2 linked regions of the Coturnix japonica genome follow. The protein of the gene in region 1 purifies or fractionates together with the protein of each later gene. This does not show direct contact. Links are inferred from orthologs where the notes say so. Each region holds a gene or a part of one and is shown in the gene's direction. Other genes may lie near its edges.

The links. The genes of interacting proteins can lie anywhere in the genome.
Region 2: the proteins of BAG5 (region 1) and DNAJB4 purify together in Homo sapiens (affinity purification with mass spectrometry; 4 studies listed by BioGRID and IntAct, with this or other methods). This does not show direct contact. The link is inferred for Coturnix japonica from reciprocal best matches to the Homo sapiens genes BAG5 and DNAJB4.

What each region holds. Positions count from the first base shown.
Region 1 is NC_029520.1:45,842,935-45,848,705, reverse strand, and holds the start of BAG5 (BAG family molecular chaperone regulator 5), read left to right. Parts: upstream 1-1,857; 5' UTR 1,858-1,992; intron 1,993-2,212; 5' UTR 2,213-2,240; coding exon 2,241-3,593; 3' UTR 3,594-5,771. Other genes in the region: cytochrome c oxidase assembly factor 8, read right to left, coding at 115-178, 1,501-1,839. UniProt on the Homo sapiens protein: Co-chaperone for HSP/HSP70 proteins. It functions as a nucleotide-exchange factor promoting the release of ADP from HSP70, thereby activating HSP70-mediated protein refolding.
Region 2 is NC_029523.1:16,607,984-16,613,140, reverse strand, and holds the end of DNAJB4 (dnaJ homolog subfamily B member 4), read left to right. Parts: intron 1-790; coding exon 791-1,024; 3' UTR 1,025-4,311; downstream 4,312-5,157. UniProt on the Homo sapiens protein: Probable chaperone. Stimulates ATP hydrolysis and the folding of unfolded proteins mediated by HSPA1A/B (in vitro).

The sequences.
Region 1 (5,771 bases):
CACGTGCATGCTCTGAACAATCACTTGTGACAGAACACACAGCACATAACTAGCAAAATCTGAAGTTAAACAGAATTCATAACGTATCTTGAATTGTACAAAGATCTCACTAACCTGTTTCATCTCTCGTTTCCAGACCCTTGGCTTTCAGCCTTGAGTAGATAAATTCTTCTTTTTCCTAAAAGATGGTTTTTCCACATTAGAATTTGAGGCATTCGGTCCTTGAAGTAAACCACTGTTTTTAAATCATGTAACAGCTCAGTGCCTAATACCCTCTGAAATAACAAACAACACTCATTAATATTGGAAACATCAACAAAACATTTACCCAAGCACAGTGACTTAGTGTTAAACCGATAAAGCTCTGTTGCTTAGATCCAGAAGATGGCCATGAGGACAACCAAAGGGCTGGAGCACCTCTCCTATGAAGGAAGACTACAGGAGTTGGGTTTGTTTAGGCTGAGAAGAGAAGGCTCCAGGAAGACCTCACCACAGCCTTCCAGTACTTGAAAGGAGCTTGTAATTGGGAAGGAGACAGACTTTTCTTTGCATAATTTGATAGTGATAAGACAAGGAGGAACAGCTTTAAACTGAAAGAGGGAAGATTTGGGTTAGATGTTAGAAAGAAATTCTCTGCTCAGACAGCAGTGAGGCCCAAACAAACAACAAACAAACAAACTAACAATGAAGACAACACATACCACATAACTGAGCATTTCTGCATTCAGATAAACACGTGGCCTTCAAATCTGTCATTATTTGGATGTGTACAGAACAATTACCTTTTCGTCGAGTTCTCAAACTCAGTTCTACAGAAGTCAGGGAGGATATGGTGATCAAAGCTCAGAAATAACAGTGAATTACTGAATCACTCCCACTCCTCCTAACCTATAGGGTCATAGAAGAGCTTCGGTTGGAAGGTCAGCGAGCTCCAACCCCACTGCTATGGGCTGACTGCCCCTCACCAGACCAGGCTGCCCAGGGCCCCATCCAACTCAGCCCTGAACACCTCCAGGGATGGGGCACCCAATAGTGATAGGACAAGCTACGAGGTTGTGTAAGAAGTCACTCCTACTCCTGTTTATAACCTCTCTTCAAGTACTGGGAGGCTGCAATGAGGTCTCCCCAGACCCTTCTCCTACCTAAACAAGCCCAATTCTTTCAGCTTTCCTTCATAGAAGTGCTCCAGACCTTAAGGTGCAATCGCAAAAGAAAGCACGTGTCCTTGCTTTCAGAATCACACACAGCATCACAGGCTTTCAGCCTTGATAAAAGGTTCAACTGCCAGTGCAGCAGGGCACATCAAAGAACCATCTGAGTTAGAATGGACCCCAAATGCCATTTTCTCCAACCACCCTACAACGAACAGAGACACAGCTCCATCAGGTGCTTCTACAGCAGAGCTTTCCTTGCTTTTTCCCTGCGGCAGCACCGCTTCCAGCAGCCAAACCCCCCCATTCCTCCCGGCCCGATGCCGCCCCCCAGCGGTTCCGGACTGACCGTCCTGAAGGCGGTGTTCTGCCGGGCCCAGAAGCGCTGGTTCCACTCCTGTGTCTCCTCCCGCAGCTCCCGCAGCCGCCGTTCCAGCGGGGTCTCGTGAGGCGACACGTAAAAGATGACGGGGCGGAGGTTAGAGCGCTTGTCTGGGGGCCCGATCCAGTCCCTGCGGGAGCCGGCGGGGGGACAGAACCGCGGCCTCTGTGTTACAAGCGGGACGATCGGCCGCTCCCCGCCGCCGGAGGACACAGTAGAGGAGAAGCATCCATAGCAGCATCCATAGCGGCATCCATAGCGGCAGCCGCCCGCCCTCACGGCCCGCACAACCCCTACAGCCGCCATCCCCGCCGCCGGCCGCGCTTTACGGCGATGTCGCAGCCGAGGGCGGCGCTGCGGGGCGGGGCCGGGCTCAGGGCTCCGAGCCCTTCGCTACCGCTCGGCCGTGGCGCAGCGCCGAGCCGGGCCGCCGTGCCTCAGCCCGGGGGCGGCTGCAGGGTGAGCCGGGAAGGAGGGGGGGAGTGCGGGGAACGCGTCGCTTTCGGCTCCGGAGCGGTGGGAAGGAGCGGCTGTGAGCGGGGAGGGGAGCGCCGTGCTGGGGGGTTCAACCCCGGCTGAAGGAGGGGCGGCTGCGTGCCCGCTGATAGGGGTCGGTGAGACCGTAATATAAAGTTGTAAACACGGGTAACCGATGTGTTCGCTTCGCTCTGCATCGCAGTTCGACTGAAGGTGGATGAGAGCAGAGCATGGATATGGGGAACCAACACCCTGCCATCAAACGGTTGCACGAGATACAGAAGGAAGTGAGAGAGATCGAACAGCAAGTGGCAGTCTTCAGCGGGTTGTCCACGGACCGGGACTACAAGAAGCTGGAGAGATCCCTCACCAAACAGCTGTTTGAGATCGACTCTGTGGACACTGAGGGCAAAGGGGACATCCAGCAGGCCAGGAAACGCGCTGCCCAGGAGACCGAGCGGCTGCTGAAGGAGCTGGAGCAGAACGCCAACCACCCGCGCAGGCTGGAGATCGAGGCCATCTTCAAGGAGGCACAGGCGCTGGTGGAGCGTGAGATCACGCCTTTCTACCAAGGAGGCAACAGCATCAACGAGGAGTTTGAAGAAGGCATCCAGGACATCGTGCTGCGGCTCACCCAGGTGAAGACCGGAGGGAAGGTTTCCTTGCGCAAAGCGAGATATCGCACCCTGACTAAAGTGTGCGCCGTGCAGGAGATCATAGAGAGCTGCGCCAAGAGACAGCTCTCCCTGCCACTCTCTAATGATGCGCATCCTTCTGTCTCCAAAATTAACTCTGTAATGTGTGAGGTGAACAAAGCCAGAGGAACCCTTATTGCGCTTCTGATGGGAGTGAGTAGTAATGATACCTGCAGGCATTTAGCCTGCGTCCTCACAGGCCTCGTCGCTGATTTGGATGCTTTGGATGTCTGCGGTCGCATGGAAATAAGGAATTACAGAAAGGAAGTAGTGGAAGAGATCAATAAATTGCAGAAATACCTGGACTTGGATGAAGAAGCAAATACTACTCATGCTTATGATCTGGCCCAAAATCAGTCCATTCTAAAAATAGAAGAAATACGCAAGAAAATGAAGGAAGTTAATTCTTTGCTTTTAAAAACAGAGAATGCTTCTGATTTGTATTTGGGATCCAAAGCAGAACTGCAGGGATTAATTGCCCAGTTAGATGAAGTGAGTCCGGGAAAAAACCCTTGTATTAGAGAAGCCAGGAGAAGAGCAGTGATAGAAGTACAGACTCTCATAACATACATTGATTTAAAGGAAGCACTTGGAAAAAGGCAAATGTACGCAGAGCAGACTGCTGCAGAACATCAGTCTCATCAAGCAGTTTGGACTGTGCTTGGAAACTTGTCTCAGATTCAGCAGGAGGTGATTTCTTTTGATGGAAATAGAACAGATAAGAACTACATGCGATTGGAAGAACTCCTTACAAAGCAACTTCTTGCACTTGATGCCGTCGACCCACAAGGTGACGAGCGATGTAAGGCTGCCAGAAAGCAAGCAGTAAAGCTTGCACAGAATATCCTTTACTACCTGGACATGAAAACAGATGAATGGGAGTACTGAAGGAAACGTGGCCTGACATAAAATACCATTTTTTTTCCTGCGGCACTTCATGTAGGATGATAGCTACACTGGCAGCACATAGTGAAAGTAGTGTTCTATGCTTGCTTAAATCACGGAGGTTGCATACAAAGTTACCTTGGCTATATGTGTGCTATCCCACGCAGTCACCCACTTGCCATGGCAACTGTCAGTACACCATCAGCAATTCTGGTCACTGCTATAAGCAATGGAATGAGATTCTCTGAAGGAGCAGCTTAAGTGTTGATTGAACGGCTTCTTTTTCTTAATCTGTCTGTGTTTTAATAACCTGGTGTAACATTCAGAGAACGCAAATGTTTCAAAGATGCCGAAAATTCCTTGTGGTGCAGTACTGCAGAGCTGTTTCAAGAAAGCTGGGCGTGAAAATTAGTGTTTAAGCACAAGGCTCCATCCAGCAGCATCGTAGCAGTCTGGATATACTCTTAATGTGCTGCTTTGATGAAAAGTATTAAATGCAAACAAAAAAAAACCAACTTGCTGGCTTTTGGGTTGTGCTTGTTTTATTCCATCCATCACACCTTCTGCTTGCTTAGATCTCTTTAGATTTCCTGCTCGGCAGAAGTACAATGCCAGCTTCAAATTCACATAGGCGAAGCCACTTTTGTATGGCACCTGTGAACTGTCATTTGCAAGAACAGCTTTTCTGCTGGTGGAAACTCTCAAATATTCTTTGCTTTAAGAAGCTGGGACTCAAAGAGGACAATCTGTAGATATTTACTGGCCAGATGAATTGGGTTTTGAGGATTTCACACTGCCATCCATTAGAACCTGAAAACTGCAATGAACTTTTTTTAATGCTACTTAGGGGTCTTTTTAAATTCTGCTGTTCTATCTGGTTTTGACTCGCCTTCCCCTGTTTGATTAGAGCAGAAGTCACTTTGAAGCGGATGAGGATTTTGGATTTATTTTTGTAGTGTTAGGTAGTATAAAGGCATCCCTAATGATGTACGTTTGTGTGATACACGTAGATCTTTCATACTGGTCAGGTGTGGCTTTAGGCATGTCTTGGAAGAGGCTTTTGGCATACGTCTCTCTTTGTAACTCCCTGCTTAATTATAAATGAGCTTTGTAAATCAGCTCGATTGTACTACTTTATGCACTACCTTTTCGTTTGTTGCTGCTAGCACCCATCACATTTCTACTATAGCATGGTTTTGAGTTTTGTTTTGTTTGGGGTTTATTTTGAGCATGGCATTAAAATGAATTAATACAGAGAAATATATTTAATTACAGAAACTTTGCACTTCGCTCTTTCATGTTGAATTAATGAATCAATGTAGGTGATGATTTGTGCCTCTTTATGGAGTAAAAACCATTTCGGATGTTAAACTTTAAACAAAGTATTTTTAGATCTATTTTAAACTGATTAAATAAGACAGTGCTGTCTGTGAGAGACAAGTGCCTTTAGGACACCACAAACTTGCACCATCATGTGTAGATATAGAAACTGTTTATGGCAGCTTGATGCAAACTGGATTTATTGTGTATATATAAGTGCACTGTATCTCAAATGAACGTAATGCAATAGGTGAGAATTGCTCTATGGCGTCCTGACAACAAGCATCAGCTTTAGGAAAAGCAGACTCTGTTTAAAAATGAATTTATTTATTTTAAGATAAATAGGGAGATTGGGGACAAGGAGGGAGAGAGAACTCTTCTTCTGCATCGTGCTTTCAGGTGCTGCTGAAAGCCTGTGTAACTTCAGAGTGTGAATACATTTTGTTTTGTGACAGAACATTTGCTGGAGGGTTCTCCATGGCTCTTCAACCTTGTTGAATTTATCTTCCCTTACCTAAAAATAATTAAAATAAGTAGAATCATCTCCTTTGGGTAAAATTCCAGTCTGTGTTTATAGGTTTTATGGCTGGCACGGAATAGTGATGTTTGACACCTGAATTACTGGACTCATTTCAAGATTTCTTGGTGTTTGAACTTCAGCTTGTTGTTTATGCTTAAATTTGTAGGAAATGTAAGGATTTCATAGTGTGGTAATAGAATGCATCTTTCTTTTGTACTGCTGTCAGGTCTGCAGTGGTTACTTGTAGGCTGTTTAACGTTGGTGTTCTTTGGAGGTCGTGTGTAGCTTTATAAATGTTTGAACTTAGGCGAAAATGAGTAAGTATAGTTTTCAGATCTATT
Region 2 (5,157 bases), on another chromosome or scaffold:
TGTGCATATCATGAGCTCCCTTCTTAAAGGATTCCTATCTGAAAATTCATTTGGTAAAGGAGGACGATGATGTGGGTAGTACGATGATGTGGGTAGTACAGTTCCTTCATGGATAGAAGCCTATGTAGATTTATTGCATTGTGATGTAGTAGTGAACATGCATCAGTATAGACCAAGCTTATAGGATGAAGTGAAGCTGGAAGAGTCTTTATCAGAAGTCTTAATAATGAAAACACACCATTGGGTAAAGCAGGAGAAAACCTAATCTTCCTGATGTTTTCATTTTGGTACTCCAAAAATAGTGTTTGATTTTCTTTGACCATCACAAATACTCTCCTAAGACAACTGTCAAATTTGATTGCCTCTACTTAAAGACATTTAAAATGTTGTGTTATTTGATGTAACGTAAGTTGATGGAAGTATTAGAGAAAATCCCTGTGCACTGTGATCAAAAAATTGAACAAGATTCTAAATTCCCAGTAGAAATGTTACAGTATATAGGGATTTGTTATTGGAGAGTTGTGAGTTGTATGTTTGCTCTGTGCTTAATTACCATATTACTTGATAAAGTCGTGGAAAGATATATAAACTCACTCACTCTCTTCAGTGGGTATTGCATAAGATTATTTGAATTTTGACAAGATATACTGGGCTTACTAATATTACATCTTTGCACTTTACAGTGGAAGTATTTTGTTTACAATGCTAGTCTTTTCTAAATAAAATTCAATTGTAGGTACAAGCAATGTTCTGACCAACCCATTTTTCTTATGATATAATCTTTCTCTAGGCATTGTGTGGCAGCTCTATCAATGTGCCAACAATAGAAGGAAGAACCATACCCATGACAGTAAATGAAGTTGTAAAGCCTGGGATGAGAAGAAGAATTATAGGATACGGTTTGCCATTTCCCAAAAATCCTGACCAACGTGGAGACTTAATTATAGAGTTTGAAGTAATTTTTCCAGATAACATTTCTCCAGCATCAAAAGAAGTACTTAGGCGGAATCTTCCAGTTTCATAAAACGAGGACTATGTCAACTGTTTAAGCAGGACACTGGAAATGCAGAAGACTGGCAAGTCTGTGCTTTAAAAGTGCAATGTGTAACAACTAGTGGAATATTTGTTGTTTTTTTTTGTTTTGTTTGTGGGTTGGGTGGGGGGAAATACTGTAATGCTGCATGAGAAGAGTTAAGTACAAGTCATACAGATGACTTCTGCAGTATAATTTACAGGGAAAACCACTCATATTTTATATTAGATCTTCCTAATCAGAAAAGCTTACTCAGTATTTTGCTTAATATGAAGTGTAGTCAGTTTTTACAAAGCCAATGCATATTTCTGATAAAGTACTCAAGCCACTAAGTACTTTATTCCTTATTTCCCTACTCTATCTGTAACAGAAATGGTTTATATAGAAATTGGATGTGGTAGTAGAAATATACACGTGCAAATATTCTAAATTACAAAACAGTAAAGATACTATTTGGCTTTTTGCTTTCCACTGCACGAAGCATAGACTGGGAGAATTGGCTTGGTCTCCTAAATTGCCCCCCACTGAAATGAAAGTATTTTCTTTATTTCATCAGAATGCGAGGGATCTGCATTACAAGTCTAGGAAAGGACATGTAGCTTGAGGAGAAAGTAGACATTTGTTGAGTAGTTCCTCATGCTTCAGACAGTACAGCAAGAAAGGATTGTACATGTACAGCAAGTGTGGGCCCCGGTTGTTAAATGGGGTAGGGAAACTGGGTGGCAAGTAATGTGGAGAAGGCTGAGGTGCTCAGTGCCTTCTTTGCCTCAGTCTTTACCAGTAACACAGTCTTGACCAGGAGTCCCAGCCTCCTGAAACCAGAAGGAAATCCTGAAACAAGGAAGGGGTAACCTCAGTGGTGGTGAACCAACACAGAGGTGCATTTAAACTAGATGTACAAAAGTCCATGACACCTGGCAGGTTGCATGCAGAAGCGCTGAGGAAGCTAATGCCATTGCAAGGCCTCTCAATTATCTTTTGATTTGAGAATGGTTTCTATAGACTGGTAAGAAGCAAATATCACTCCTGTCTTCAAGAAAAGCTAGAGAGAAGATATGAAGAACTACAAGCCAGTCAGCCTTAATGCAGTCCCTGGGAAGATCAGAAAGAATATCTTCCAAAAAAGCATAATCAAGCACATGGAAGACAGTAATGTGATTTAAGGTCAGCATAGATTTACAAAATGGAAATCATGCAAAATGGAATCATGACTTGATTTCACTCTACAGTGAGGTGATTAGCTTGGTGGATAATGGGAAAACAGTCTGTGTTCTTTACCTTGACTTTAGTAGGCAAATTGGAAAAGTACAGGATAGATAGGTGAACAGTGAGATGAATTAAAAAGAGACTGAATGAGTGGGCACAGGGGTTTTGTTATCAGGGTCACAAAGTCTACTTGGAGGTAAGTCACTAGTGGTGTATGCAGACACAGTAATATTCAACATCTTTGTTAAAGACCTGGGGAATGGAATGGAATGCACATTCAGCAAGTTTGCATGTCATGCAGGAATGTGAGGAGTGGCTGATGACACCGTGTTGATTGTGCTGGTCTTAAGAGGGGCTTTGGTGGCCCAAAACAAACAAACAAACAAACAAAAAAATCATACAGAATGAAAAAACAGAGTTCAATGGGCAATGGGTAAAAATCTTGCACCCCGAAGTATTACCCAGGCACCAGTACAGTCTTGGGCTCACTGTCTGGAAGGCAGTTTTGTTGAGAAAGGACTTTGAGTTTCTGGCAGACAACAAACTGACCATGAACTAGCAATGTGTCCTTGCAGCAAAACAGACTAATGGTTTCCTGGGTTGCACTGGGAAGTTTTGTGAGCAGATTGAGGAAGGTGATCCTTTTTCCCTGTTCCTCATGGGTGAGGCTGCATCTGGCATACTGTGTCCTGTTGTGGTCACCCCAGTAGAAGGAAGACAGTGGCTTGATGGAACAAGTCTGTGAAGGACAGAGAACTGGAACTCTTCAGTCTGGAATGCAGAAAGCTCAGAGGAATCTGATGAATGTGTACAAGTACTTGGAAGGAGGGAATGGAAAGAAGGGAGCCAGACTCTTCTTAATAACACCCAATGTCAGGACAAAAAGGACAAAAGGCATGGAGACAACGTAATACACTTTTTTCTTTTAATACTGTGGTCTCCATCCCTGGAGATCCTCAATACTGAACTGGTCACAGCCTGGTCTAGTGACCATACTTGAGGAGATTTGGGTGATCACCAGAGGTTCCTTCCAACCTGAATGATTGTGTACACTCACTTAAGAGCCTCTTTCAATAGACAGTATTAAGGACTGTGTTCTGCAAATTAGGCTTAGCCCAAAAATGGGTGGTGCTGATGTGACAGCTTGAATCCATAGGAAATAGTTGTGTTTTGTTTTTTGTTTTTTTTTTTTTGTGGAAAGATGTATAAAGAACACTGTAGAATTGCATAGTAGAGCAGATATTTAAAGATCATGCTGATCTCAAGTTCAGACTTGGAAAATAATGCAAATTTTTACATTGAAGAAGGAGAATCCCAGGTCCTATCTAAGGAGAAGTCTGCTGAGGACATGATAGAATAGGAATTGCCCACAAACTTCTACGTGCTTGCATCGAGTCTTTTCTGAACACAAATATGACTTACTTATCTTTAGAGTTAAAAGGTGAATAGGGAAAAGGAAAGCCCTCTGTAATAGTCTAGTTTTGTAATATTGTAATAGGGCTGGTTCCCTGGTGAAAGAAATGCCTTGCAGATTTGTTCTTGTTACTTGAGTTTTAAAATATAATAGAGTGCTTTAGCAGCAGTTTCAAAGAATGCTTTTCTTCGTAAGAAGAAAATATATAGGATTTGCTGTTAGCCTTTTGACAGTGGAAACTCGGTAGTTACCTGCTTTGTTAGGTAGCTTAAGAAATAGCAGTATTAACTTCATATAAACGCTTTTCTGTGGGAAAGTAAATAATATGGAAGTTGGGATTCAAGTTACGATAGCTTTTTAATGAGCACAAAAAATTCCATTTTTGTTACTCAAAGAAATAAAACTTCTGGGAGATACTGTTCAAATAATTTTTCAACTGCTGATCTCTTTGTACATTGTCAGTTGTAGTCCTACAACTGCAGTAGATCTACAAGGAACAAAACAATTGCTGGAGCAGTATCACAAAGGGCAAACTTAGCTGCTTAATGTTTATGTGTATTGTTAACACTATATATTGTTTGTTTAAAGAATTCCCAATATGTTCTGTATTGCATTTCTTATGTGGTTTTTAAGTAAAAAGTGTAAAGTTGTTTTTTCATTTTCTCTCATCTTTTGTTATGATGGCAGATGCTGAAATCTATATAACTGAAGAAGTGTATCATTCTAAAATATATGTATGTTACTTTAAAAGTTAATGGCATTGAAATTTTGTAATCCAGGATCTTGTAACAATAGTCTAACCTGCAAAAAAAAGAAAGAAAAAAGAAAAAAAAAATCAGTTGCAGCACATTATCTCTTGTAACTATTTTCAGGTAAGAAGAATAGCGTTCAATTCAGCATTTTGCAGTATCCTGTGCATTTAGAGGCGTATGTACAGCAAACGTCTTTTTTTTTTCTTCCTAATCATTTTCATGCTCAAGATTCAGAAGAACCATAGAACTGGTATGAATTATTAATGGAGAGATAACAAAGCATACATTTCAAAAAATAGCACATGAAATTACTGCAAAAGAGAGAGGACATCAGTCCAGAATTTGCAAGAAAGAAGCACACTTTCAATAGTGAAATATTAAAAGCTATGTTTTAAAAACCACTTGTTTAAGTGAAGGCTGCGTGGGAGACTCAGTCACCTGCTATATCTATTAAAATACATGGAAATACATTGACATTGGTGAATTCGGGAGGACAATGATATTTTTAATCTCCTCAGGATTGGTTAAGTACCATATACAGCAAAAGGCATTTGCGTAGTTCAGAGAAGTTCATTCTTAGACTTTCTGATGTCATGAGAATATTAGCATTCCATTGTTTATTCCAGTATTCCTTGTAAAACTGAAAGCTGTATAAAACCTGTTTGTGCTGTGTTGAGGAAGTGCTGTGGTTTGGGAATGATTTTGAATAATCACCCATTTGATTTGGGAAGTAATATGCTTTGTAGCTGGGG